Linked DNA regions of Lepisosteus oculatus. The protein of the gene in region 1 interacts with the protein of each later gene in a pairwise test. Links are inferred from orthologs where the notes say so. Each region holds a gene or a part of one and is shown on either strand. Other genes may lie near its edges. The genes, in order: atxn1a, SH3 and cysteine-rich domain-containing protein 2, znf276 and klhl12.

Region 1 (7,441 bases):
GGATATCAAGTATATAGTAATGTGCAGTAATGTAAAGTAACAGTACAGACCATCCTTTTAAATGTTCCTCTTCAGTACTACAATTGTGTAAATTGATGACCACACCACTTTCAGCTCTTCGGAACTTTCATTAAAAAAAAAAGTTTTTTTGCATAAAGACCAAAACAAGGAAGTTATGACTAAAATTGTATCCTTTCCTTAGATTCTTGGCATGGCTCAGAATGGAAGGGGAAGATTCCGCAGAGGAACCATAAAACAGGAGCCTAAGACTACATCTGGCTGCAGCTCCAAGTGTTGTTTTTTATAGGCTCTGAAAAGAAAAAGAAAACCGATGTACGTTCATAGACCACCATTACTGCCAGTATGTACTGTCCTGGGTAAAGGGGTGTCTCTGAATATACTGTATAACAAAATGTGAGAGATTTTCTCCAGCTACAGTGCAGCTTTAAAAAAGCACATTCGCTCTGCAGATAGTGAGCGTTGTTTGGAATTGACAACGTCTCACTTCATGGTAGTTCTTCAGTTTCCTGTAGTATTTTTTCTTCTTTCCCACAAAACAGTGAAATAAAACATGGCTGTCATAACATCACTCTCCTTGCAGTATTTTCCTGACTGAAAATTTGAGGATGTGGTCATTATCAAGGATGTTTCAGTACTTCGTGATATGAAATCGTTAAATCATTTAAATCAGCTGTCTCTTTATGAGAACCCACTTTTATCAGTTTCACGTTGTACCTTAGTGTTATGTGAAGCCTTGATTCTTAAGATGCTATATTTATTACAAGAACTGCCAAATTTAATTAGGCTAGATGACAAGCAAAAACAACCTTGTATTCTAGAAGGGAACTACCTTGCTTTTACACAGAATTCCATATGTAACAGGCGAACCTTTTGAAACACTGCTAGTTGTTAGAACTGACCCCCAATTCCTGCCATCTGTATAGATGAAGCCCCTATTAAATGAAACGTATCCTGGCTGTGTTTGCTTTAAGAAAAATCTTTGTTCTCATACTTTCTGTGTTGTACAGTAAATAATTTATCATCCTCTTTTTGTTGATTGAGAAAGGAGAAATTCTTAAGGAAATTACACACATATGATGAAATCACGGATGGTTGTGGTGTTAATGTCATTAGTATGCGTAATGTTGTTCTTCAGAAAGATGAACTGGGGACTATTTAAGGTCACGATTTCAAAGATTGTGAGGCTTGCCATGCAAGTACCTAATTTCTGATGTATTTGATTGACAGAAATTTGTCAGCAACATCACTGTTTAGGAAATACTTGATGGTAACAGAATATTAAGGAATTCTGGTTCCCTACCAAAGCAACAATGCTAGAATGTCTTATGTGTATTCTCTCAGGCCCAAAGCTTATCACATTTGAAAGACCCTGCCCCTAATTCTAACCCTGACTCTTTGATAGAAGTCATCAACATCAGGAGTCAGAGTACAGAATGTATTCAATTCGTATTCTTCTAATATTCAGTTCAATATCCATTTGTAGCCACTTCTGTAAAGTGGGATTACACAATCAAAATAACCTTTTCAAGTTGCATTTTGTTTTCTAGAAACATGTGATGCAAGTAGGTGAAATAATGCATCTCCTCTTGCCTCTTGAAATGTAAGGCTTTATTGTAAATATACAAGCTCCAGACAATCCGTAGTATTTTGCTGTTTTAAAGAAACTGTTATTTAGGACTACTGTCTGTGATCAGCGATCTCTGTATCTACAGCATACCGTTAATATTATTTGTTCAATATCAGTAGAAGCCGAGCTGTGAAATTGGAAAATGAATGCTGGCTTTCTGTGTGCCTTTCATTGTCTAATATACAGCTGCTCAGGACTTGAAATGACGATTCCCTATAGTGGGCAAGAGTCTAACTACTGTACCTCTCTTGGGAGATGCTGACAGTGCTAGTCCTCACTTCACTTTGAAATGAGCCGGGACAAATGTCAAAGCTACTTATCATAATATGGGTATGATCCACCACCACCAGTGCAGCCCCACCTGGATGATGCGACGGCAGACATAGTGCGCCAGAACGCTCACCACACATCAGTGGGAAGGAGAGCAGAGTAATGAAGCCACTTCATAGAGTAAGTACTCTATACCGTAAAAAAAACTATTCATACTGTAAGACAGTAAAACAGAAAAAAACTATTTTTCCAGCAAGCTCTTTAGCAAACCCCAGTCCCCAGGATACTGTATCTCTTAGTTTATGTAGTAGCTGAGCTTTTAATTACTTTGACTAATTGATTCCTTAACTGAACAGTTTCTTAATTAGATCTAGACCCTGTTTGGGCTATTTTCTGCACTCAGTCATGTGTTTCAGAAATACCCTGCTAGTTGTCAAGATATTTAGCAAGCATCATGTGCACAACATTTTCCAGAAACTGCTCTTCTTCTTCACCTCACTAAACATCTAAGCAGTGATTTTAGTGACATAAGGGAATTGTGTAGTACCATGAATTCCCATGGCAAACATTAATTTAGGCCAGAATTTAAAATAAATTGAACTCACTTGTCAGTCCCAAATAAAAACTCTACTTGATATTGTGCCACAGGAGCTCCTACTGTATTTCCTCTAACAGGGAACTTGCCGTTAGATATTCTGGTTGGTTAGTGGTGATGGGTTTGAGATTTTAACTTTTGAATATAATTGGGCTTTAGTGTCACTTGATCTCAGTGACTTAAATTCCAGAGGCCCGTTCAGTTAATAGAAACCCCCACAGAAAAAAGGGGGTTCTGAAAACTAGATTCTGGAGATATCACCAGGATCTAAAAAGATGAACAACACTTTCCAGTACATTATTGATCTATTGAGCAGGGCATTTGTCTAAAGGGACTCTAGTCCTCAAGGACTGAGTTTTTTTGTTTCCAAATGATTTCTAAATTGAGCAGATTCCATCTTTTCAGTCATCAGTTACGTCCCATGTCGATGCCATGCTGACATGTAAGACTGGATGGGTAGCAACTCTCCAAGAACAAGGCTGGAGACCCTGAAGGACCAGCAAAGCTTACACATCACAGTCCCGATTAATGACTTTCTTGACTAATTTACAATGGCTGCTTTATCAAAATTAAAATGAGGATTCAACTGAGAATCCATCATAAAAAAAGACCAATAGAGAAACCTCAGACAGCAGTGCTGGGTAAATTTTAAGTGCTGAAAGCAGTTAAAAACATTTAAACAGTCAAACCTTCAGCTAAAGGGTTACATTAATTAAGTCAGATAAAAACTCCAAACTCCTTTCAGTAAAAAGTGTATGTGAAATCCGACAGCAAAGATACCTGAACCTGCAGCTGAAATGTCATACAACTTTGCAATAGAGTAGGGGCCAGCTTTTATTTTTCTACCTACAGTATATTAATGATGTAAATCCTGACAACAGCTCTTCCCCAGGTTGGCTGTGTATTTAATCAGTTCACAGGCGTTTCATAGGCGGTTTTACTGGAAGATGCTGCTATCGTAGATGTTAGCATTGAACTTGAGGATGGTCAACTGTTAAGAGTGATCTGCCTTTGGGGGAAATTTGGTTTCTGACTTTTCTTCTACTCAAGTGTGGGCCTGCTGGACACTGGAGTCAGTTTTCAACAGTATTGTTCTTGAAGGAAACTCTTTTTCAGGGTCTAAGGTAATAGATCTCAGTCCCATGTCCCTTTCTTCTCATATGGCTTGAAAATTGATTCATGGAATTAAAAATACCAGTCAGACATATTGTTTGACTTGAACAGTACAGCAGTTTTGGAGGTGCCTGTGGACCAATGTATTTTCCAAGAACAGCTCTTAGCCACAGGCCACAAGAAAAATGTGCAATTTTACTTTTTAAAATTTTACAGTTAGAGACACTGTAACTTTAAGATTATGACCCAAAGCATAGCTTTGCTCAAGTGTTATTTAGAAATTAAATATATGATTTTATTGTCACAATCAGGATTTTCAATTGTCCGTTTTGCTTTTTCGACACAATAGACTGCTCACCTGATGGCTGGTGTTTGTTTGTTGTTTCTTTTAAAGACTAACAATTTGGAATCGGTCAGTTATGAAAATCCGGAAATATTGACACAGTAGAACGAAAACAAACATATACACAACATATAAACATGTTCTTCTTTTGTAATTTAGCCAGGAGAAGAAAATGTTTTAAAGCTATCTTTATGTTTGGAGTGCAAACAAAACCTATGCGCTCGATGTATTTTAGAAGAAAAATAATCTGGCTGTAATGATGTTTATCATGAACATAGTATCCTTGACTAACCACCTTTTTTAACCGATGGCATTTGTCTACGCAGCACCTAGTTAGGCGTGACTTGTCACATTTCAATGTTACTTTTTTCATGCGCTGAAAGGAGTCACTTGGTTAGGAGTTAATACATATTGTGACTTCATGCAGATCACAGCGTTGAATGAAGTACTGTAGCAGTGTGGTTTCTGGGCTTCTGGGCGCCTTACTAGAAGGTAGCGAGTTGAAATCCCGGGCAAGCCAGCAGCTCCTGTTCGACTGCACTAAGGTGCCAGGGCTTCGCTCGGGATAAAAGCTAACACCACCTGCATGCACCACGACCGCTTTCCCCGAACGAGACCGTAAACTTCATCTTGGCGTCTACGAAACTGTGAGAAACCACAGCTGTCCACAGAAAACAAAACGTGGTGGGGGGGAACAACACGACAAAAACGTCCGGCGGCGAAGGAGTTAAAGCTCTCCGTAACTCCGTGTGGTGTGGGTATGCCTTAATCCGCGACTCCTGGCTTCGTGCCAGAGAGCGGCTTCGCCTCCATCCCCTCCTCGCATAGTGAAGGATCCTGGAGCTATTGCAGAGGCGGCCAACTGCTCCATATTTGGCTTCTATTACACATTCACAGAGCGAGCGAGCGAGAGAGAGAGGTGGGAACAGCGAGCGACACAGAGAGAGCTAGCCTCGCTTTGCTGCAGACATCCTTCTAGTAGTGGAGAGGAGACGGACCCGCCGTCACTGCAGGAAAACAGCCCTGGCAACAAGGAAAGGCATTGCCCTCCTCAGACCATTACACCGTACAGTAAGTCCCGGCGATTTATTTAGCGTGATGTCTTGCCTCGGGAGCCCCCGGCTCCGTCGCCGCTTCTCCTCCCCAAAGAAGTGAGGAAAATGGCTCTGAGGAACTAGGAAGGGAGACGCGATGGATCACAGTTGGCGTTGTTTTCTCTCTCTCTCCCCCCCCCCACCTTCTTAAAAAAAAACACCAACACCACCACCACCACCACCACCAGAAAGGAGGTATAACTTCTTACGCAGAGGAAAGGGTCTGGGAAAAATTTCGCCCCGGGCGTCCTTGGACGTGCACTGCGAGGCGTGCGCCCGTTCGCTGCGCTGCGCTGCGCACCAGGCGGCGGTGCGGCGGATGTTGCGAGGCGCGGTAGCCGAGGAGAAGCGCACTGAGCTGGGGCTGCTGTCGGACCAACTCTCGCGTCTCGCTGCGTCACTCCACTTCCTCTAGCGGGCTCAGGACGCATTACAGAAAGCACTTCCTAATCGATGTGTCCATAGTGTGTGTGTGTGTAGTAGTACAGTAATCCACGAGATAAGCGTGTTGTTTCTAGTTTTATGAAGCGGGGTTTTTTTTTTATTATTGCTGGGCAGCTCTTTCCAAGGACAGGCGTGTGGGTGCGTTGCGTAAATGCAACACTCTTCTGGGTTGAAAGAAATGTAACTCTTTTTAATAACCCTGTTACCTAGAAATGTTACAGTAGCTGCTTCTAAAGAAAAACAGTCCACAATTATGAGCTTCATCATCCCTGCATTACGATTTTTTCTTAAGGGTAGTCTTATGCGTTATATTATTTGGCCCATGCCCAGAAATGTATATTAGTTTAACACCACTATGCCTTTTGTATCGAGGTTATAGTAAGTGTAACATTAAAGAAAACAAACATACACATATTTAGAAAATACATGCCGATTCACTATGACGTTTCTTAAATACACCCAAACATAAATTAATTCGGTTTAAATGGACATTTTTTCCCCCGTTCCTTACGGCTAGTGGTTGTTAAGTCTTGCCCGTGATGTCATGTAACCCAGCTAGCTATATTGTTATATAATAGGCTGCTGGGATCTCAGCGTTTGCAGGCTATTTATACTTTGTTTACAGTAACGAAAGGCTGTGTGCATTAGGGAATCCTTTTAAACCGATGTGCTTTTGCAACTTCTGCTCGGGTACTTGCGGATTTGCACGCTACTTGCCTTAGCGTTGGTCTTTAGAGAGGGGGGAGACCGAGAAAAACCACCAATTTATCGCCGTGCTGCGATATATATTTTGTAGTAGACTAACGAGGCAGGTTCTCCTCCCTGGCATCTCGGTGTATTCACAATCTGACATTAACACGAACTGTCTGCATTCGCAAGTTTGTTTTCGTGACGCTATTGTACTGCTTCGACGTTACCAGCACTGGTGGAGGTTTGTGAAGTCGCAAAGTTGAGGTCCGTCTACATTTTTAGGCGGGCAGCTCTTGTTCGACGTTGAGATCTTTGAAAAGGTGAAAATAATGTCTGCAGAACTGGGATATACAGTACGTGTGTGGGGGGGAAAAAAAGAGGCACAGGGCTCTCGGTATCCTAGCTCTGGCTGTGACTGACAGTGAGCTCTTCCGATGCTTTTATCAGGAGCAAATTAAACTTCCCCCATAGTGAAACATTGCCAGCCGCGCTCTGCACTGAATGGAAGGAGAGTATTAGAGAGGACTGTTGTAGACCGAGGCTGATGGCCTCACCGGAGCTTTGCTTCAGCGGCATGGAGATTTCCAGTCCACAGTGCAGACTGGCGGCGCTCTTACTTCAGCCGTGATCAATCAAGCAATTAGATCGGGCTGCTATGGCAACAGACAGTATTTATTCACCCATTCAGGTGTGTTTGCCTTGTGCCGGGCTATGTTCTCCAGTTTCACGGGCACTGCATAGTAATCTTCGCTTGCCGCCAATTTCTTTAGTTAACCGCTTGAGGTTTAGTTTTGTGATTACAACACTGTTACTATAAGGCCACTGCTGCTGCAGATAATTCCAATTACGTTTAAATTAAGAGAATTATTCTTCGATCAGATTAAAAAATAACGTTCTTCTGATTAACCTTTACAGCATTTAGTTTATATCACAGTTGGGCATCACTGCACGGATTGAGAAATTGCGGATGAGGTTTTTGTATTTGTAAAATATGGAATCAAGGAGAAAGGTTTTCTAAGGGTAAAGACATTTTTCTGCATGGGTTATTGCACAGTTTTATAAAGTGAAACGTTCTTTTTTGTCAAGGGGACAAAGCTGTGGTATAAGCTAGCATCTAACACATTTCTTGAAGGCTAAGGAATTTATCTAGTGTTGAAGTTCCTGAAACAATGCATGCACATTATTCAGGAGTACACCAGAGGAACTGCTGTCAGAACTCGGACCCACAACCTTGCAGTTACAAG
Region 2 (7,193 bases), on another chromosome or scaffold:
CTTTGTCTTCTCTTTTCCCGTCTCCTTTTTACAACATCAAGGATGAGTCCTGCACCTCCATCCACTCATTTATTCCATCCACTTCAGGGCCGTTGGAGAGCCAGAGCTGGCAAGCAACAGGCACAGGGCAGGACACACACAGATTCACACTCACACCAGGCCCAATTACCCCAAAATGCCAGTTAAGCTGCCAGTATGTTTTTGGACTGTGTGACATGAATATGGAGAAAACATACAAACTCCACCCAGACAGCACCCCAGGTCTGGAACTGGACCCAGGGACCCAGCCCTGTGAGGCAGCAGTGCTAACTCCATCTGATCCTATGTGCTCCCAGAACAGGCTCTGGGTTGCTGCTATCCTCATCAGCAGTCTCCAGATAATGGCAGGATGGATGATATTTGGTTTATTAGCTGAGTAAGTAAGCTCAGTAAAATGTCCCTTGAAAGAAGGATGCATTAAATGTAATAGACAGCAAGCATAACAACACAGTCAGTGATAATTGATGAATGCAATTTATGCTGACATTCATGTATAAATAGCAACACAGCGCTCTTTGATTTGAATACAAGGGACAGCTTCAGCGGTGTTATGAACACGCGCTCCTCTTTCTTCACTCTTATTTGTCTGCTAGCACGCTGGCCCAGTTTTATGCACAATCATTTCGTTTCATCACACTTTGGAGGAGACGGTCGACGGTATGCGTCTCACGTCTGCACCCGAATCAGTGCTGTATCGAGGCGCTCCCCTATTCTTTGCATGCTCATTTGCATGTAAATGTCTCAGTGTTTGCAATGAGCGAAGAGGGTGTGAGCTGGTCTTTGCAGGGGGTTGCAGTACTTCACATTTGCAGAACTCAGGAAGCAGATGAAATGCAGATGTCTGTGTTTTGCTCTTTATTTTTTAGATACTCGATAGTCTTCAAAAAATATGTAATGCACTGTGATGTTTTGCAATTCAGGAGTTTCATATGATTCCTTTACCCAATCCCACACCCCACAAAATGAAGGCGGAGGGTACTTTTAGAGGCATCAACTGCTACCAGCAGCAGAGATGAATATTGTCTTTTACTTTTGTTGCTTATTTTGAAACATGATTCTCAGCAGATCCTTTGAAGCTTGGTATTGCATAAAAGTATGGATGCTTTTATTCTATGTCTCAAGTCATTGTGCAACCCGCGAATACTTGAGATAGAAGAAAACTGGCTAAATTGAGTTTACCTCATAGTACAGGGATGAGCATTCCTGGTGCTGGAGGGCAGGTGTCCATCCCAGCTCCTAAATCAGCTCATTATTAGTTTATCCAGTTTAACTGCTTCTTCCAGTTCATCAGCTGCTTTGAAAAGACCTAGAAATCCTGCAGACAGACTGGCCCTCCAGCACCAGGAGAGCCCACCCCTGATATATTAAGATAGTGTAAGTGAACTTTGTCTCAGGGATGAGTCAACACCTTCATGGACCATCATAGGGAGATATTGGGCTACTCTGGAAAATGTCACCATCATTTGCAGACATTAATAATAATTGCTTACACTTATATAGCGCTTTTCTGGACACTCCACTCAAAGCGCTGTACAGGTAATAAGGATGTGTAGTTTTGGGGTGAAGACATCTGTTTGCAATTTTAGAGAGATTTTTTTTAAATCAGGGTGATGCTTTAGAATTCAATGCACAAGAAAGCACACAATTCAGAATGACCTTGTGTCCATTAAATCCTTCAGCAGCGACACTGTGATCTCTGAAAAGCCCGAGATGAAACAGTGGCAGACGTCACTGCAAAATAGGCATCTGTGTGCATACGTGCACAGACGCAGATCAAGGACTTCTCATTAAAACGCTTCTGTTAAACATTCAGGTGACCTGGAGTGAGCCTTTGCTGTGTGTGTTGGCACGCCGCTGGTTGTGATGGCTTTTCCTCTGTAAATAAACGAGCAGCGCTGGAGGAGAGAGACTGTGGTTGCACAGCGGACTGATAAGGGGCTTCAGAGAAGGGTGTTATGCTAATTTGAGGGGAAGAGGATGATATATTTCAAAGGCTTTGTTGCTGCTTTGCCGGGCTGGCTGTCTAATCCCACGCGTTTCTGTGTGCTGTTGTATCTCGACAGTGCTACACAGAGCACACGCACACACATGACAGGGGCTTTAATTAGAAACTGCGCCATTCCACCAGCCCGTGCTGGAGGAGGCGGCGGTGGTCCTGCATGTCCCCAGGAGACACGCCGTGCGCCCACACCTGGCCACTACCGGCTCTGCCCCAGCCGCCCTGCGAGCGAGCCCTCCGGCACCCCCAGTCCCAGCATACCTGAGAGCCACACAGTGTCCCCCCCTCACGCTGCCCCCCTCCAGAGAGACACACGGAGCCTGGAGTGCTCTAGTTCTTTGAGATATGTGTGTTACCACCACCCCCCTGTACCACAATGCCCCCCCCCTCCGAGAATATGAAAGGCTGGCACCAGCTAAGACAGGAGTTAGTGTTCAAAAATAGCTCTGCTTGGAAGACAGCGAGCGTGGTGGTGAGCAGTATGGCCTCTTTCTGTAATAACCCAGACTGCTTCGCCTTCTCCAGAGCAGTAGACAGCCGCCACACGCTTCCTGTCCGTTCAAGTCTCCTGCTAACATGACTCCCCCGCGGGGGAACGTTCTTACACACAGGCCCGAAGTTTGGTCTTCGGCGGCCCTCGGCACTTTCACTCCGAAACGGGCAAAAAGAAGGGTCAACGCCAATTGAATGACGTCGGCTGACATGACGCACTCCAGACTCTTGTACTGCTACGCCGCGAGGATGGAGCGAGACGAGCGACCATCGCTTCGATACTTCTAGTTTCTAGAACAGCCGCTAGAGAGCGTGTTGTTCTTGACTGGGCGCACCTAGAGTCGACCGCAAAACCTGTTGTTGTCCACTCGTTTTTCGTGGGTCACTAGTGCTTCCCTCCCAGTCCCACGGGAGAAAATGCTGGAATCTCGGGAAGGAGATGGGTGCCCGCTGGAACGTTTTCCCAAAGCACTTTTCCCAAGCTGTTGTACAAATTGAGTTGAATTTTTTCTCTCTGGTTATTTACGGTAATGTCGAGTCACTCCGTTATGCCAGAGTCCGGTCCGCTGCCGTGGAGTGTGCAGGATCGTGGGTATATTCCTCCCACTATCGCGCAGAGAGACGAGAACAGCCCATAGAGGCTGATCAAAGCAGCGCTGTCAAAGACCTCGCCCCTAACCCCCTCCTTGACTGGAGATGCACGGGACCGAATACAACCTGCTGAGGCAACGAGCTTGTATGGAGTGACCGACCGCTGTCTGCACCGCGCCATGCTTAAAACAAAATTGCTAAGAGCGCGTCAAGAGGCTGTCTGGTCGAGCAGTTCAGCGGGGGGTTAGACTAGGAATAAACCTATTACTTGTTCCTGGGCAGTTCAGAAGGCGCCGTTTGCGTGCGCACACCTGTAATTCTCGTTCAATAGTTTCTATAGTTAGCGCGCGACTGAGTCATCGGGCACATTAAAGCGCCCCTCCGCGCGGGGGGGGGGGGGGGGGGGCGTGCTGGCGCGCGAGGCGCGTTGCTAGTAACGCCTGGGGTGCGATCAGATCCTCTCCGGAGGCACGTTTGGAGCTGCTGCTGGGGGTCTTCCTCACGGGAAAGGTGGTGAAGTTCACGCTCGGGTCTAGTAGGGCTGTTTTCATGCTGTAAAGGTGGGCATTAGGAATTATTACTTTGGCAAAGGCCGTTCTGCAGCTCACTGAGAACAAAATGTGATCAAGCCGAAGACGGTTTCTCTCTCTTTTTTTTAATGGGCAAGGTCATTAAATATCACGAGTCTTACATGACGTGCGAGTTTCTCCTAAAGCGGGTTTTCGAGATGAGGGTTGTACGTCGGTGTTCACGCCCCTGAAAACCATTTGATCATTCGCCGATAGGAAATTCATTTCCCATTCTCTGGGATGCAGTCCGCAACACGCGGCAATGCTGCCTGGCTTGATTCTTGCGCTCCTGTGTGTGTAGATCCATTTGGTTAAGGACCCGTTGTCTATCAGCGTTGTCTTACCAGGCCCTTTGACTTTGAAAGTGTAGTATGTTGTTTCTGCAGTTCGTATTGGTGCCAAAATGCATTTAATTTCAATAATGATAATCAACCGTGCGTACGAATGTTTGCACAAACAAGGAAGTCATATTTTTTATTTGTGATTCTCCTATTACTGTCACAATATTCTTTCTAGAACAGAGCACGTCTCCTTTTCTTGGGGCCACCTTAAATGGGTACCAAAACATCTACCTGTGCCCAGAGACACGCCCCGGCGCGGCGACGTCACACACAGCGGCCAATCACCGTGCGGACGGCGGTCGATATTAGCATATCAAAGAGAACCCCGCTCCAATCACAGAGCCGCGGAAGCGTGGTCGGGCATTCTATTAAATCAAACTTGTAGCAAAGGCGCGTGTGAGGCTGCAGATCTGGCGTGCTCCACCAGTACAGCACCTGGGCTAGATTAAGGGCGAACTGCAAAGTCGATAGCGCCACCGAGGCCAGTATATCTGAGAGCGCTGGAATTAAAAGCACTGATCTGACTGAGTCGCAGGACAGGCGCACTTCACTGGGATTCAGACCACTGCGGCTTGGTTTTCTTGTGTTTCTGAAAAAGAGAGTTGCTACCAGTGTTACTATCCTCTGCGGTGTGTACGTTTCAATGCATGGGGGCTACATAACACCAAAGGCAATGCTGACGCGTGTGGCAGTTTGCAAAAAGTGACTGCCGCGCAAGAAACTGAAAAAATAATTGATTTTTAAAAACAATATATATATATACGAGCATCGCTAACCTGAACAGAACGAAATGGTACATTAAGTGAAAGAGACAATACGGTATAAGCCGTAATTCAGTAGTATTGTCATTCCCTGCGAAGAGAATCGTCAATATGCTTTGCGAATAAAAAGGAGGATTTGACCCACTTGCACTCAGCAGGCTCAGCCGGATACCGCTTCCTGACTGACTCGCTCGCGGGCGCGGCACGAGCCGGGCCGCCGGCCAGCCTCCAGCGCGAGCGCGGCGCAGAACCGTCCGGGACGCGAGCAGCGAGAGCCGGGACCCCGGAGCGATGACGGAGAACAACGAGAAGGAGAACGAGCCCCAGAACCGGGATCTCCAGCGCTCCCCCGGCACCGTGTCGGTCCAGCCCGAGTCCAAGGTAAGACCTGCCCCTCCCGCCGCCGCCGCCGCCCCCCAGGGCGAGACGCGGACAGGTTCTGATCACCTGTCGAAGCCCGATAATAGGCCACTGTCGCCAGAAGGCGTATGACACAAGCGACACGACCCCGGTGAGAATGCATGACCCCCCTTGTCTTTATGGTCGTGACACATCCAAGTCATCTTTGTGACCAGCTTTTGTCGGTTGTTTTTTTTTGGTATAGGCTCTGTAAATATGGCGTCCTGTAAAATGACATTTGTCCGATTTGAAACGGGAGAATAAAACTTGATGAGTGGACCTCAGATAGCGGGTTTCTATAATTATTGTTTTAGAAGGGTGTCTTGATAGGAATGTAAATGAGAGATTAACACTTAAACCTGCATCTACGCCTTTGCTGGCGTTCCCCGGATGACATCAGTTGCGGGCTGTTCTGACTGGAGTGGACCTCTCTGGTTCTAACAGTCTGTGAACAGCGCGGGTTTCGAAGCAGCAGAGCGTGCCTCGCGGACTCAGGTGGCCCGGCATACCTGTCACGGTGCTCATGCAATATTGTCTGAGTCCTGTCCATGCAAAAGCCTTTTAAAGTAAAGGTTTTAAAGTCTTTCCACGGGAACTGGAATCCGTCGGCGATACCGTGCCTAGAACATATTAGCAGACAGGTAGAGCGATAATCTTGTCGAAGGAGTGAAGTCGCGGTAACACATTGGCAGGTGAACTGTCGCTGGCGGTGATCCGTGCTGTCAGATCACAGCGGCGAGGAATGAATCTGAAGGCTTCCGAATACTCCCACTGGGATACAGACTATCATGCCTATTTGATTGAGATTCTACTCAAATATGTTTTATTTTATTTTCGCCTTCTCATTTTCTCTTAAATTGCACGCCCGTGGCAGGGTATTAAGAGGCACCGCAGACCTCTAGCGTTATTAAGAGAAACGTGTCTTTTGGAAGTCTGTGTATAAATTCTAGTGGTTTGTGGGCTGGGCTCATTCAGGCGGAACCCGGGGAGTTCAGGTGTGCCCCGTGTCTTTCTCGGGAGTCCTGGTTTGTAAAACACACCGCTGATTCCCCAGTACAGGTCAATGTAGATATTGTAACATGCAACCGAAAATAGTATCAGTCGTCTTTTTCAGACCTGAAGTATTAGACTACTCTGTGGTTGGATAAATATATTTTGACGTTAAATTCCACAGCTACTCAGTCGATTGTCAGTGTATTGGGGTCACGATGTTCTTATACCGAAAGGTACAGTATAACTTCACGAAACGATTCCTTGTTATGGAATAATACTGTTTTCCTCTGTAGCCATGTGCGTCACTGTATAACTGAACTGACTTTCCCAGGTAATGACATTCTGTTCCGTTAAAGCCTGTATCTTCGAAACGTCGCTACACTCAGGAAGCAGTGAGTAATTCTCCTCCAGCGTGGAGAGCTGCCTGTCATTTGAAATAAACGAGCTCGGGCTAGATATTTATACCGTTTCCCTTGACATCTATATTTTAATCCTCACGACACAGGACGTCAGACAGCAGCTCGCTGACGTCAAAGAAAGGTCTCTTCCTTGACGTATGAACTACGCTGGATCTTTGAGCTGCCCCCAGCTCATTGGGAGTGCTGTGACTTCTTTGTTTGAATGAGCGCATAGGAGGGGTCATCGGCTGAATTGACCTCTATGGACCGGGCTGGCAGACCACGAGCAGCACGCGCGCCGGAAGCGATGGGGCCTCGGCACAATCCAAGATTAGTGTGGATGGGGGTCTGTTAAATGACCGCGAATTACTGTGGGGTCTGTGTGATCGCCACGAAACTACAACACCTGGGCGTGCACGCGTGCTCTTCTGTCACCGATTCACTCTGCGCGCCCAGCCTCGTCTCCTGCGCGTCATTGCGCCTGCGGGCGGGGCTGTGTTGTTCATCTGGTAGTGGAGCCAGACAAGGCGCTATATTCCGGGGAACGCAAGCACCTGACACGCTGCTTTTGAACTGCGCAAACCTGCACAGACTGAGCAAAAAAAAAGAAC
Region 3 (6,935 bases), on another chromosome or scaffold:
CCCTGGAAACAAAAACAGTGAAATCGATAAACAAATCCTCTTTAAATTATGCAGTAACGTCTGTCATTTTGAAAATGTATCCATCGAACTGAAACATGCTTTCGAGGTAGAAAACCATTTTACTTTAGAATCACAATCTGTTTAATTTCAGTTTTCTTCCCAATTCTGCTCTCACAATAACACATTTAGGACTGAATGTGGGTTTTGTAAAAGTATACTGGCAATAAAACGTCACTTCAAGGTAAAATATTAAAAAACTACATACAGGACGGCTTAGTCCTAACGATTTTTTTTTTCTCTCCAATACCGGTTGCAACTTGTTTCTCTGTTAGTACATTCAAGTGCCTCTATCAGATTAACTTTCAGACCCACTCTGTTTTAATACACTGCAGTTGTGGAATGTTTTGGTAGAAGAGTTTTAAGCTGTAATTTTAAACAACATCCATGGCGGCCTTCCACCCAAAGGTTTACGAAACATGGATTCAAACGGAGATTCGCTGCCAAATGAATGCACGGGTGAGATCAAGGGTGAGCTGGCGCGGCACGCCGCCTGGATCTATCTCTCTGTGCCATGTGGTAGTACCAGCTGCACCAGGAAGACACCTCCTGCTCCCTCACCTGCCCCGGGGCTTGTCTCTGGAGGAGGGGGAGAGGTTGACCCGCTGCACAAAGGTGCGCAGAATGCTGTGACACTTGTAGAACTGGCTGTGGCAGTTCTTGCAGACGAACTGGGACAGCAGGGGGTCCCGGTGGACCGGCACGCCCACCAGCCTCTGGAAATCGGCAAAGAAGAGCTGCGGGCCGCGGTGCTTCCTCTCGGCGCCGGGGGGCCGCCCCAGCTCGGCCGGGAGCTTGGCGAAGGCGTGCCGGAGGCTGCGCGACGAGAACTTGCCGTGGCACAGGCGGCAGAACGCCGTGGTGAGCCTCCCTGAGCCTGCAGGGCCAAAGAGAACAACAGACGGTCATTAGGCTGCTCCCACCCCAATTTTAATTCAGTCCTATGATCTACACCTGCACTGCAATTTAAATCAACGGCGTTTATGCTTATCTGTTTCGATGCACAAACGAGAAGCCATTTAGAACATAACACTCTTCGCTCAGCAGAAGCATCTCTGCTTGCATTCCATACAACACGATGACGAGGACCGACATCCAAAAACAGGTCCACGGTTGAGGCTCATTACAAACCCCACCCAGCATTTACAGCAGAACCTTAAGGGGCTTAGCCTCCAGCTGGGCAGACAGAAGCAGCGGTGTACCACAGAGACTCATCTTGGGCCCATATGTATAGAATTCTAATCCATATCAGCTACACCAACAATTTAAATTCTGGTACAAATGGAAAACTAGTGAAATTTGCAGGCGATACAAAAAGACGGGTTGTGACGAACAGAAACGATAGCCAAAGAATTAGCAAAAGGCTCAACCCAAATCACAGACTGGACAGACGTTTGGCAAATGTGTGCAAAGTGATCCACTTTGTAATATGTGAAGAAGGAACAGACACATATTACAAGACCGCGTCTAAACTGCAGAAGGACACACATAAAAGGTGTCTATAAAACATAACATAACATAACATCACTTTATTGGCCACATACAGTTTCTTGCATTAGGAATTCGTCTTTTTGCATTGCTTGCTATCTATGAGACACAGATACACAGACGGGGAGAGAAGCTGGGGTTCAGAGCGCAGGGTCAGCCATTGTATAGCGCCCTGAGAGCAGCTGGGATTAAGGGCCTTGCTCAGGGGCCCAACGGAGTGGGATATGAACTGGCAACCTTCCAGCCACAGGCGCAGATCCTTAGCCACAAAGCCACCACTCTGCCCCAATGACTACGTAGATTATTGTATGTTCTTATCAATGCCAGGCAGGGAAGCAACAAAAAGCAAAAAGGACAGTATAGAGCAAAAGTCCTGTAATTCAAGTCAAGAGAAGTTGTGTTCAAGTCTTACAATACATTAACAAGACCTCATTTAGAATTCTGTATTTAGCTTTGATCGTTGTACCACGCAGCGATTTATTGCCTTAGAGAAAGTTCAGAAAACAAGTACAAAAAGCTGACTGCAGGTAAAGTTTAACGATCTTTGGAAACAACTGCCCGACACTGTAACTTGCGCTGCAAATGAAAGTCCTGCCCCATTAAAACTGTTAAGTGCAACCCCCTAAGCAAATAACATCCGTGCCAGGCACGTCCACTTGATCGGGGGTCCTCGGGGTGCTGGCACAAACTTTAGTTGACGGGGCCTGGGGAACTCCTTGTAGGAGAAATCGCTTTCAAAATCTACCTCTGAGAGGGAGCAGGCGGCAGCCCTTCACAAGAGGAGCGAACTGACAGCGGGGGCTGCCATGTGAGCACAGCGCTCAAGGGCACCCCGGCACCGGGCGCCCGCCGTGCACACTCCTGCTGGCGCGGACACAAGGAGTGTTTAAAAAACACCGCAAGCAGTGAAGGTACTGACACACTAACCCGGCTGCTCCGGTCCGCCTTCAGCACCCCCTCCTCCGACATCTAACGAGGCGAGTCCCAGCCCGCCGCCTTCTTCCCGGCCGCTGCTGCTGCCCTCGCTCCGGTCCCCGGACACATTCCTCCTGGCTGCAGACCTCGGTCTCCCCCGCCTGCTCCCCGCAGCCTGCTGTCCTAACCGTGTCTGCAGCGCCGGGGCAGCCAGACGACCGCGCCGGTCTCGCTTCATGCCCACTCTCCCCACCACTGCCAAGAACGCTAAAACTCTCTCTTATTGTAATTACATGGATGCGAAATGTGGAAGCAGATTCTTGTTTCCAAATCAAATACCCACCCCCTCCCGCCGGTTATAAAAGCATGGGCGTGTTTTGTAATATTGCACGGCCTATATGTAACGTAATTTTAATATCTGGTCGGTTTTTGTTTTTAAAAAAAGAACTCATAAAAAAAAAGCCCAGAGCCGAAAGTAAACAAGTGGGAGCGGAAGTGGCGAAAGTGGGGAGAGACTCAAGAGCGACCATGAGAAGCGACTCGGCCGCAGATCGGCACAGCGCCCCTACCGGCCGTGTGGCAGTACCGCAGGAACACGGGGCTGCTGAGACTTCTTCCCATCGCATCCCAGACCCAGCACCAACACGAAAGAGAGCCACCTCGGGTCCGCTAGTGTGAAGTCAGTACTGTCACGCAGTGGAAACGGTGACAACTGACTTCAAATCAGATCAGGGACTTGACGCTCCCTAACAAGAGGAGCAATGCCCGGAAAGGTGCCATCATCAGCCAGGAAAAAAAAAAAGATTGACAAGGCTAATGCTACTAAAGTTTTAGAAGAAAACTGTCCCGTTGAATAAATGAGATATGCAAATGTAGGTGAAAAAATACACCCATCTGACGTTCCGTGCAGTCTCACACGCACCAGCGGTGGTGGGTGTTGTATGAAATTCTGTCCGACCAACTTCCGGTGGTTGCTGAGGAACCATCGCGAGATCTTTGGTTCCGCGATGGCCGCCGCTGCGTCGGACGGGGTCTTGAAACCCCTCCAGAATGCCATGAAATTAGCCAATGTCGCTATAGAACTGGACGCGGGGAACAGACAAAAGGTAAAACGTACACATATTTTATCAAAGACGCGAGAAAGAACGAGTGACACCCCTTGGATTGTCTGTTAAAATCCAGTAACGGGACACAATGTTGACTCCGCTACCCCACTGTTTACATGTCGTCATGAAGCAGTCGTACCCCAGCCGAGCGATAAAAGGCGTTTTTCTGAAATTTAATGAGCCTGCAATTCACGTTTCCCTTCATACGGACAGAAATGTGTTCATGCGCCTTTTCGATTATCAGTTTTTTTCAGTTTATGTCACATTTCTGGTTTGAAACACGCATTCCCATTTACTGTATTATGGCACCTCCTGTCCGACTGCAATCTGTTTATTCAGCTGGAGTCTTTCCGGCGACTCGTTGGGGTGAAATGGTGTTCGATACACGTCGATATAGTATCATCAGTATATCTGTAGTTATTGATGTGATGCGCTGTATTTATTAACTAAAGGAATTTGAATTTGTGAATAGTGCTGTTTCATTGGGTGAGGGGTGTCGATGTTTCTGAGCGTTTCAAGGTAGAGACTGTCAACACTACAGGGGTCCGTTAGTTTTGACTTTACGTTTAACTCATTGAGTTTTTTGGGGGGGTTTGTTTCGCCTTTCAAGCTCCACAGATTAGACCACAGTTAAAACTTTACAATGCAATCACCGTGTTTCCAGCTTCAGGCTATGCTGTTGTATGTTTTTAATTGGACTGTAACAGATCATAGTGTTTTCCAGTTTAAAAAAATATTATGGACGCATATCAGTAAGGTAATTTTGATCAGCGCTTTACAGTATCTCGTTAGTGTTGCAGCATACTTACACTTCCCTTCCTCACAAATCTAAATGTTGTGATAGGTTGCAGGCGTCCTTCATGTTCAGGACGAATGCACTTTGATGCTTGAATTGCGGGTGCCAGCCGGAGGAGACGAATCTTCACGGTTGCAAATGCACTGTGAGCGCCCCCTATCGTGTACAACCCCCCACATACACAACGCTGCTATCTGCTGTACTGTATATGCGTCGGCCTCATTTGCTCGTCCCTAGTTTCTTCCAAAGCATATGCTGGATATACAGATAAAAAGATGCCTCCTTTTAAATAATAGGTGCAATTTTTTAAATTGTATTATCATCTTAAATAACCTCAATGAAAAAATAATACTTTGTATTCTATTATTCAAAATAAGTATATAACTACCGTTCTTGGTATTTGTTTTTTTAAATAGATTGCTATGACCCCTGCTTGTGTAGCCTTTACTGCCTGTTTTTAATGTTTATTTCTGTCATGTGAAATACTTTGATAATATTCAGAAACTAGTATTACTACTTCATCAAGGTAAGGTCAGTTCGGCCTGCCTTGCTTATTTGGTTACCTAGTGTGATGCTTTAATTAACATTAACATTCACATTATTTTATTAACCCTTTACAATTTCTTGCATTAGGAATTATCTTTTCGCATACCCCAGCTTGCTCTCCATGAGACACACAGACAGGGAGAGAGCCTGGGGTCAGAGCGCAGGGTCAGCCATTGTACAGCGCCCCTGGAGCAGTTGGGGTTAAGGGCCTTGCTCAGGGGCCCAATGGAGTAGGATTCCTCTGCCGGCCACAGGATTTGAACCGGCAACCTTCCAGCCACAGGCGCAGATCCTTAGCCACAGAGCCACCACTCCGCCCATGTTTTACATAACATTCTTTGCTTTTAAAATATGTTTTTAAATATTCTGGCCATATTTACAGGCACATGCCCTTGCATATGCGAGTTGTGCTGTCAAATGTACTGATATGACTGATGAGAGGACCAAGTTACCCAAAATTGTGACTTAATTAAGAAGTTATATAAGTTACCCTTTGGACTGATTTTATATCTTTATTTGGTTGTTTCTGACTTTTTTGGTTTCGTACTGGGAAAATATTCTTATACTGTACAAATATAGCAAGTGGTTTCGGGTTTAACAGCGTATGCACACAAAGTTCCAGTTACTCAAAGGCCGCTATAGTGTTGCTTACTTTATTTTTCTGATTATTCATTTAAATTTGAGGTTCCTAAAAAAAGTTGGCTGCTATCAAGATCTCTTTTTCAAATGAGCTAGTAAATCATCAGCTGAGAACCTGATCAATGGAGAATTAAACTCAGTGGAGTTGTTCTGAAGGTGGGATGGAAAATGTCCCCTGAGAAATTTGCTGAACTCAGAAGACAGCTGTTAGACACCTCCCTTCCACCCTTCCACCCTTCCGTGATGTTTATAAGTGCTGTGGGGTTATTTTTGTTTGTCCACAAGAAAACATTTCTTACTATTGTTATTTTTCTGGAAACTGCAAATTTCAGTTTAGAATCTGGGTATTGTCCTGTGTGAATCAGCTGGCCTTTACCTCTGGGGGACTCTGATGGGAACAGAAGGGAGGCAGGCCCGGTGTGCTTTCCTCGGAAGCTTCTCAGTCACACTTTTGTAACTGCTGCTGTTGAGCATGTCAGAGATCGCATCGATTGGAAGGCTAGTGCGACTGAAACTGCAAGCACGGAAATTCCCCGCAAACCACAAGCCACAGAGATGAAGATTTTGGTGTCTGGCTAAAGCACGGTTGTTAAGCCAGTAGGCAGCTTTGTTTTCTTTCTTTTAAATATTTAATTGCTTTGTAAAAATAATTTATTTTGCGATCATCTTGTCCAGGGGTGGGAGCCCTCCCACAGGGTGTCTCTCCCCCACCCAATTCAGACCTCTGTGTGTAAGACATCAAGTGTAAGACATCAAGAGAGAAGAAGGTCCATTCGCCTGTGGTGGACATTATAATAATAATTGCTTACAGTTATATAGCTCTTTTCTGGACACTCCAGAATGGAGACTCCCCTCCAGTGCCACCAATGTGTAGCAAAATTATAATCAAATCCCTGGTAACCCTCCTATAGATGCTTCTCACATTTAATACATCTACACAGCCCCATGGCAATTAGAGAATAGTGTCTGTTACTGCTTAGTTTTCAAATTGTGCTGTGAACATGAAACTCCATTCAACATTTTGGCTCTGTGAGCCGTGCGCCCTCAAGTGTTGGAAGCCACAGTCTGCTTTCCATAATGAAAAAAGTCTAAAATTCAAATCCGTACTTAAGGCTGACAGAGCTTTGAAAGAAGACCGCTCACGTTTCTGCTTTGTTTTGTCCCCAGGAGGCTTACTGTGAATACCTGAAGAGCATTAACTACATTTCCCAGGCACTTCTGGAGGAGGCCGTGCCGAAACGTAAGAAGCTTTGTTTTTGCTACATGACACTTCAAAGTCCATGAAATGGCAATTGAAATAATTGTGAAAGCTATGATTCTTGATTAAAGGAATGAAATTAGATCATAAGCCTATATCAGAACTTAGTTAATGTTCAAGAAAAAGTGAT
Region 4 (7,451 bases), on another chromosome or scaffold:
GGAAAACTTTCACCATTAAATACAAAGTTCAAAAAAAAAACTCTGCTCTTGGAAAGCAGGGCTTCAGCAGAGGGATTTCACAGTGTCTCATGATCTCACGCTCTGCTTCTTCAGTTTCAGTCTCACCAGATCTTCCACGTGCTGGTGGTGGCGGCTGCCTTCATCCACTTCTACGGCGTGTCCAACCTGCAGGAGTTCCGCTACGGCCTGGAAGGGGGCTGCACCGATGACTCGCTGCTCTGAGAGGACACCGCATCCCCCCCCACCACACACACACACACACACACACACACACACACACACACACGGCAGCCTGCACCCACTGTTCCCAAGTGCCGCTGGGGCTCGCAGGACCCCGTGTAGAATCAGCCTCTCCCTGCCGATATCCTTTCTTGACCGGCCTCGGGCCCTGGAGCGTGGGGGGGCCCTGTGGCATTCTCCCTGGAGCTCCTGCTTGGATCCTCCAGCCTTCGAACGATACATTTCTGGCGGGGGGGGGCTGTGCTGAACAAAAGTACATGGCTCGCCGTGAGGGATCGAGAGATTCGGCGATGCTAAGAGGCGTCCCTTCCGACAGGCATTCCTGGAGGCTGCCGCGTTCCTGTAGGTGTAGCTAGGGAGGCGCGGTGTGATCCGAACCCAAAGGAAAAATTTAGAGAAGGCCTCCATGAGTCCTTCGTGGGGCGCACACCAAGTCGGAAAGGAAATCGGCAGAGAGCAAAGGTGCTGGACAAAGCGTTTTACAAGTCAGCTATGGACGTGCTGGTCTCTCTTGACTCCCTGGGCTCAGGTGTCGGTTTGAGTCTTGGCCGTTCATTCCTGCCTCTTCGTCCTTCAGGTTCGTTTGATCTAGGTATTGTAACGCCGCCCACAGGCTCACACAGAGCCTGCCTTTCAGATCCATACAGCTCTGAATCCCGGCGCGAAAATGCTTTGACGACGCCCTTCAATCCATGAATTCAAAGATCCCCAGTTGATCCTCGAGAGCTGTAATCCTGCAGAGCTCTTGTCTGTTTAAATCGTCACTCTTTCTCCTCTGGAGAAAGGTGTTATAGTGTATCGGTCCAGCTGATTCCTAATGAGATCCTTCTCTTAAGCTGTTGGTGTGAGATTGTGATGGCAGAGGAAATTCGAGAAAGAAGGCGATCGCCTTCTGGAGCAGAAAAGTAGGGCTGAATGGAGACAGGCTTTATATGAGAAAGGGAGAGTGCCATAGCTGTGGTAGTGAATGAGGTACAATGGGATTTTAGATTTTACTTGTAATTGAAGAGGCAGGAATGTGAATCAAGCTAACAGCCAAGAGATAATCAGTAGCGGAGAGGGGGGAATCAGTGGCCATTAAAAAGTTGTTCTTGACAAAAGTCTGTGAAATGGGTTTTTACATTCATTTCCCGTTTTGTTTTTTATGGAAATTCTGCAGGCCGGTTAAAAACGAAGAGGCAGTTGGTTCTCTGTTGTAACTTCATTAGCTCTGATCTTGTCTATGATCATTGGACAGACTGATTAGTGAAGTGTACCCCTCTTTTCAAAACCTGAGTATTTGGCGGGGAACCTGGAGACCGAATTTGGCAGAATTTGTAACGTGACGAACTCTGCTAACTGACGCTCTTCTTGAGCGCCATCATGTAAAAACCTGACTGGAAACACAAGCAGTCAACACTGTCTGTACCTTTCTGGGCTGTCTTAGGCATCTAACGGTTTTCTTCGAAACGCATACTCTGGAAATCACTTCCCCATTGTGGCTTGGGAGGAAATGGAGCAGGTAACTTATTGGCATTGCACAGACTTATAACGCACAAGGTCTTTTCGATGGGCTGTATGGTGCAACACTAATTTTCTTCCCCTGTCCATTTCCTCCCACATCATCAGATATTCATTTTCATAAACTGTATTTGCTAGAGTAGTGAAAATGGTCAATATCAGTCTAATATGCAACAATGTCAGCTGTGTTCGCACACAGCAACGTATTGAATAAGATGCGGGACAATTTAGATGATTTTACTTTAACTGCTGTACATTAGAATGAGATATTGATTTAAGATACAAGGATCCCAGTTAAAACACTGTTTGGAACTGTGAAGACTGATACTGAACTGCTACCTTTTACATCTCAAAACTAGTGCAGATCAAGACGAATGTGGGATGACTCCAGTTTGATGTACTCTAGGAGTTGTTCCCTTTATACATTTTGTCCAGGAAACACTGCATGTACTTTGCAAGATCTAAAGTGCGGTGGGCATCAGTGGAAATTGTAGACATAAACTTCCCTGGTCGCTTAACCCACTTTGTCAGCAAATTATTAACATTGTTACCTTTGATGGGGGAAAAATAAACCATCTGGTGGATTTTAATCTAACTAGTTATTCTCCCCGATGCAGTGTGTTCCCTTAGTATTTTCTGTGCCTTAAGCAAATGGAAATAAAAAAGGGACAAACTTTGTAAAGGTCTGGTGCACTTTAAACACCAGGAGCAGTCAGGGAGCAGCCAGTTCAGAATGTGTTGCAACTAAATCAGTTTGACCTGGATCTTGAGTGACTACATCATTTTTCTCTTTCTTCCATCTGTGGCTTTTTCATTTTGATCTGGCAGTTAGAGTTCATTGAAGCCCATCGATAAGCTTGTTCTGCTGCTGTGCTCGTAGACAGGGGTGTGCCTCTTTTAAGTCTCTTTAAAGCTGGGTGCTTAACAAAGACTTTTTAACACTGCGTTGAACACGCATGGCGTGTCCTTTCATGTAGGCCTGTGATCATCCATTTCTCCCTTCCAGCCACAGCCTGTATATCTAGATGTAAGATGTTCTATTAAATATTTAATAAAGCTTACAGTTAGAAACCATTTCTCTTGTTGCTTTTGTTACCCATCCAAGAAGCCCCTCGCTTCTCTCCTTGATGATTAACCAGTTCAACACTGGGCTCTAGCAGTTGTGATCAGTGATTAATGTATAAGGGGCAGTACAGTGATACAGTGATTAGGATGGGGTTCTCTGGTCTCAATTCTGGACCCGGGGTGCTATCTGTGTGGAGTTTGCATGTTCTCTCTGTGTTTGTGTGAGTTTCCTTTGGGCACTCTAGTTTCTTCCCAGAGTCCAAAAAATATACGGGTAGGTTCATTGGCTTCTGGGAAAATTGGCCCTGGTGGGACTGTGTGTGTACTTGTCTCTGTGCGTGCCCTGTGATTGGCTGGTTTCCTGTCCAGGGTATATCCTGCCTTGCACCAGTTTTATGCCAGGTTAGGTTCTGGCTCCCCTGCAATCCCGAATTGTTAGAAGCCGTTAGAAAATGTATGGATTATTTTGTTACTCTTTACATGTTAAACTCCCAGCCTCTGCCTCCCAACCTCAGGGCATTGGGTTTTCGTCATATCCTTTTCCTTGTCAAAGATTTACAATTACAAATCATAATGCAGCCTCATCTGCTGAAAGGAAAGCATGATTCTGCTGCAAGATGAGCTGTGCCTCTTTTTATTTTTTGGCATCTCGTGTAGGTATGGCAAGTACTTAACAAGGTTCTGAAATAATTACACAGCCCAAAGCTGCATTCTACTATTGCTCTCCATCCTAAAGAATTCCAAAGTTCTTTATAAAGAAATAGGCCCCCTCTTCCTCCAGCATTGAAGCACAGCCCCCACCTGAGAGGCACCACTGGTCGGCACCAGCAGTCCCACTGCACAGCTGGTCAGGGGGAGAAATGAGAAACTGCTTCGACTGAATTAAGGGAAGATACAGGGTAAGCTACATGGTACAAGCCCAGGGTAGAAGTAAGCAGGACACCAGAACTGACACCCCTACTAAACAAAGTCGTTACCTCAGATTAATGTATCACCCGAAGACCAGCACCTCCTGCAGCACGGTGTCCCCGATCATCATCCCAATCGTACTGGGACCTTGGTTTTTGAACAGTGGTCAGGATGGAAGAACACCACCTACTGGCCCAACAACACCACTAACAGCAGCAGCTGGAGCTGTGATTCTCAGCCCCGGTTTGGGAACTACCCCTGTGTCCTTTGCTTTTTTGTTCCAGTAATGAACACGCTGTCTTTATTTAAATAAACCGGTGAAAACAAAAACACTGCAGTTAACCGTCACCTCATAATATTTTTTTTCCATGATCTGAAACATCTGTCTTAGTGTTTCAGCTAATTTCTAATTCCATACTCCACAAGAACTGTGAAAGCGGCAGGAAGGGGGCCTTTTGGGGTTATTGAAAAGCCAAAATAAAACAATAATGTCAAAACAAATTCTTAAATATGTAAATACTCGTACAAATAATTACCTGCTATCACGTAAATGTATTACACATTTATGTAAACTGCAACATAACTGTGATTTTATACACAGATTCTTTACATTAAATAGCAGTTTAAGCATTTTTAATAGAGAAAAGAAGGCGCGTTCACGGCCGTGGGAATCCTCGGGCGTGTGGACCTTGTGTGTGACCATGACGTCATTGTGTTGTGTTTGCAACTGGTACCTGGGACTTTTATCTTCCTGGATAGCACAGTGCTAATCATGAAAACTGTGTGACTGTGGGGATTTTGAATACAGTTACGAGCTAACCAAACTATCTTGTTTTTAGAGGATTAGAAACCTGGACGTTTGTTTCGGTAACACTTGATTTTAGTTAGAAAGATCCCAACAGACGCGGGCCGCGGAGAAGAACCGCGGTGTGGGAGTGACGGATACGCCGGAGTATGGAGCGTCTTTGCTGGGGGTTGTAACTGTGCAAATCACCGGAGCGTCTCATCTGCTGGTAAATAACGTTTTGTCCGCAATAAAGTACACTGCATTCAAATAACATTACATCTGAGCTTGTTGACCTCTAAAATCATATAACGGGCTGTTGCATTTGACCCCTTGAAGTGATCTGGTTGTTATAAACATGTCCACCGGCTAGGAAAATAAATATAATATACCTCAGTATTTTGCATCTTGTAAGCACTGGATTCATATTCTGTTCGTAATGATACCTCGTGCTCGAATAGGATTCTCTTAGTAAATCATTCTTAAATCGTGCGGTCAGATACGGGTCTGTGCACAATACGTATTTGGCACACTGTAAAGTTAAACTGCAATGTTAACTGGTGCTTTTCGGACCAGCATTAGCAGCAAAGCTTTGTGAAATCGATCGGCCGTGAGCTGCAGGGTGACCCGGATGCCCGATTGTACTTGTCGTGGGGTACCCAGGACTGAAGGGCGCCGTTTGTCGTATTACACTCCCAACATGAAATGTATTACATAATTGATTTTTGTTTTGCACAACACGAAATGAAAAACTAACAACTTTCATTGTACCCACAAAAGACAGTTGTGTTACTCTACCCATATAATGACATACAGACTTTCAATTTTTAGACAAAAACATGTTTATTTTGTATACGAATATCGCAAATTGATATTCAAGTCGTGCGCTCGAAGCGGAATACCGTTTGTGTTTTGTCACTGCTCATTTCGTGAACTCAAGGACGTCGATGTTTATTTCGTTGAACGAAATTTTGTGACGTATCACTTTTGACCCCTGACCTTTGTTGGCATGACAACCAAGGATCAGTGGCCATGGACGTCCACAATGGTACTGCTCATGCGCTGGAGTAGTGCACTTCCTTAGTTACAATTAGTTCCTTGGAAACAATGTACTGTAGTTTATACTGTAAACGGTTACTAGAGATAGCCAGTGGCTATTTTCTTATGGAATTTTTGATTGTTTTCAAATTATTTAAATAAAAAAATTCACCTAGATAACACGACGTCTGACAGTACCAGCTAAGGCAAGAATGCTTTTCTGGAAAAACGTTCCTCCGTTCATCCGTTTTCTAATGGCTTCTTCCACTTCAAAGTCGTGGGGGAGCCAGAGTTTATCTCTGTAACAGGCACAAGGCAGGATTACACCCTGAATGGACACCTGTCCATCACAGGGCAAACAGACATACACTCACATTAGGGCCAGTTTTCTCAGAAGCCAATTAACCTACAAGTTAATTGTCTTTGGACTGTTGGAGGAAACCGGGAGGAAACGGAAGCACCCTGAGGAAACACACATGAACAGACGGAGAACATACAAATTCCACGCAGACAGCACCCCACGTCCAGAGCTGAACCCAGGGCCACAGCTCCACGAGGTAGCAATTCTTACCACTGCCACTGTTTTTCTCAAAACCTATTTTATGTAATTTGTATATACCTGTATGTGGTATTTAAAAGAGTATTAATAAAATTTCCTTGCATTTATATTGCACTTTTAATCCCAAAAGTCCCCTAAGCACTTTACGTGTAGGAGGGAACCCCGTTTTTTCATCCATCATTAATGAGTAGTTCCCATCTGAGTGAGTGTGGCCGCTGTTCTCTGTCAGTGGTGCTGCTAAACAGTCGATGAGGTGGGAAACGAGAAATTACTTCTAGCTACATTCACGGGGAACTTTTGCAAAGCCACACTGTACAATCAAAGAGTGAAATTTAGCCAGGGTACTGATACAACACCCTACTTTTTCAAAAAGTGCAGTAGGATCGTTAATGACCAGCTTAATGTCTCTTGTGAAGGATAGTATCTTCAGCCAGTGTACTACGTCTATTACTAATAATAATTCCATACACTTATATAGCGCTTTTCTGGACACTCCACTCAAAATGCAATACAGATAAAGGGAACTCCCCTCCACCACCAATGTGTAGCACCACCTTGATGATGCATCAGCAGCTGTAGAGCGCTAGTATGCTCACCACACACCAGCTATCAGTGGGGAGGAGAACAAAGTGATGAAGCCAGGGATGAGGATTATTAGGAGGCCATGATTGATAAAGGCCAGGGGGCAATTTGGCCAGGACACGGGGCCACTGCTAGTGGTTCTTGTTCTTGGAAATTGAAGTCCAGAAAAAAGGGTACCAGATTCTGGTCTACAAGTGCCACTTACAACAATGACCTGTTTATCCTGAAGATATAAGTACAGACCAGGCCCAACCTTGCTTATCCTCTGAGATCTCATGAGATCGAGCTACAGGGTGCTGACACTGCTCTCACACTGGTACACCAACCAGACTCATGGGGCTAAAAAGTGCAGTTCACCCTAAAGGTTCCTAAAAAGGTTTCCATAATAGCAATTCAGTCATAGGTTATAGTGCATCCCTCACCTCGTTGACATACAGAAGCCATTCTGCACCAGGAGACCCCCTGCACAGCAGATCAGGTTGACAAGTGAGAATCTGCTTCATCAGGCTGTTGATGTATAAGTAATGTACATATTTACCAAATTTCCTACTCTCATTTGGAAGCTGTCTTATGCAACAGGTATTTAGTAATTTATCAATAATTATTCCTTGTTCCAGATAGCTTTTGTATAAAGCAATGTTCACAATTTTAAAAGTTCTACATTAATATTCTTTGTTGTTCCCGGATCCTTAGTTCCCAGTTGATCCTGCAGTAATCCATTGTGTTCAGTTTGTTAGTACTTTTCAGGATTTT

Evidence for each region.
Region 2: the proteins of atxn1a (region 1) and SH3 and cysteine-rich domain-containing protein 2 interact in binary tests that used the Homo sapiens proteins (3 or more experiments, as listed by UniProt). The link is inferred for Lepisosteus oculatus from reciprocal best matches to the Homo sapiens genes ATXN1 and STAC2.
Region 3: the proteins of atxn1a (region 1) and znf276 interact in binary tests that used the Homo sapiens proteins (3 or more experiments, as listed by UniProt). The link is inferred for Lepisosteus oculatus from reciprocal best matches to the Homo sapiens genes ATXN1 and ZNF276.
Region 4: the proteins of atxn1a (region 1) and klhl12 interact in binary tests that used the Homo sapiens proteins (3 or more experiments, as listed by UniProt). The link is inferred for Lepisosteus oculatus from reciprocal best matches to the Homo sapiens genes ATXN1 and KLHL12.

Annotation. Positions count from the first base shown.
Region 1 is NC_090705.1:39,523,498-39,530,938, reverse strand, and holds the start of atxn1a (ataxin-1a), read left to right. Parts: upstream 1-4,441; 5' UTR 4,442-5,040; intron 5,041-7,441. UniProt on the Homo sapiens protein: Chromatin-binding factor that repress Notch signaling in the absence of Notch intracellular domain by acting as a CBF1 corepressor. Binds to the HEY promoter and might assist, along with NCOR2, RBPJ-mediated repression. Binds RNA in vitro.
Region 2 is NC_090723.1:5,904,890-5,912,082, forward strand, and holds the start of SH3 and cysteine-rich domain-containing protein 2, read left to right. Parts: upstream 1-4,172; 5' UTR 4,173-5,083; coding exon 5,084-5,173; intron 5,174-6,723; exon of another isoform or gene 6,724-7,193. UniProt on the Homo sapiens protein: Plays a redundant role in promoting the expression of calcium channel CACNA1S at the cell membrane, and thereby contributes to increased channel activity. Slows down the inactivation rate of the calcium channel CACNA1C.
Region 3 is NC_090715.1:12,649,029-12,655,963, reverse strand, and holds the start of znf276 (zinc finger protein 276), read right to left. Parts: upstream 3,024-6,935; 5' UTR 2,699-3,023; coding exon 2,473-2,698; intron 935-2,472; coding exon 619-934; intron 3-618; coding exon 1-2. Other genes in the region: vps9d1 (VPS9 domain-containing protein 1), read left to right, coding at 3,318-3,566, 6,715-6,787. UniProt on the Homo sapiens protein: May be involved in transcriptional regulation.
Region 4 is NC_090700.1:30,399,851-30,407,301, reverse strand, and holds the start of klhl12 (kelch-like protein 12), read left to right. Parts: upstream 1-4,441; 5' UTR 4,442-4,748; intron 4,749-5,994; 5' UTR 5,995-6,033; coding exon 6,034-6,114; intron 6,115-7,451. Other genes in the region: adipor1a (adiponectin receptor protein 1a), read left to right, coding at 115-243. UniProt on the Homo sapiens protein: Substrate-specific adapter of a BCR (BTB-CUL3-RBX1) E3 ubiquitin ligase complex that acts as a negative regulator of Wnt signaling pathway and ER-Golgi transport.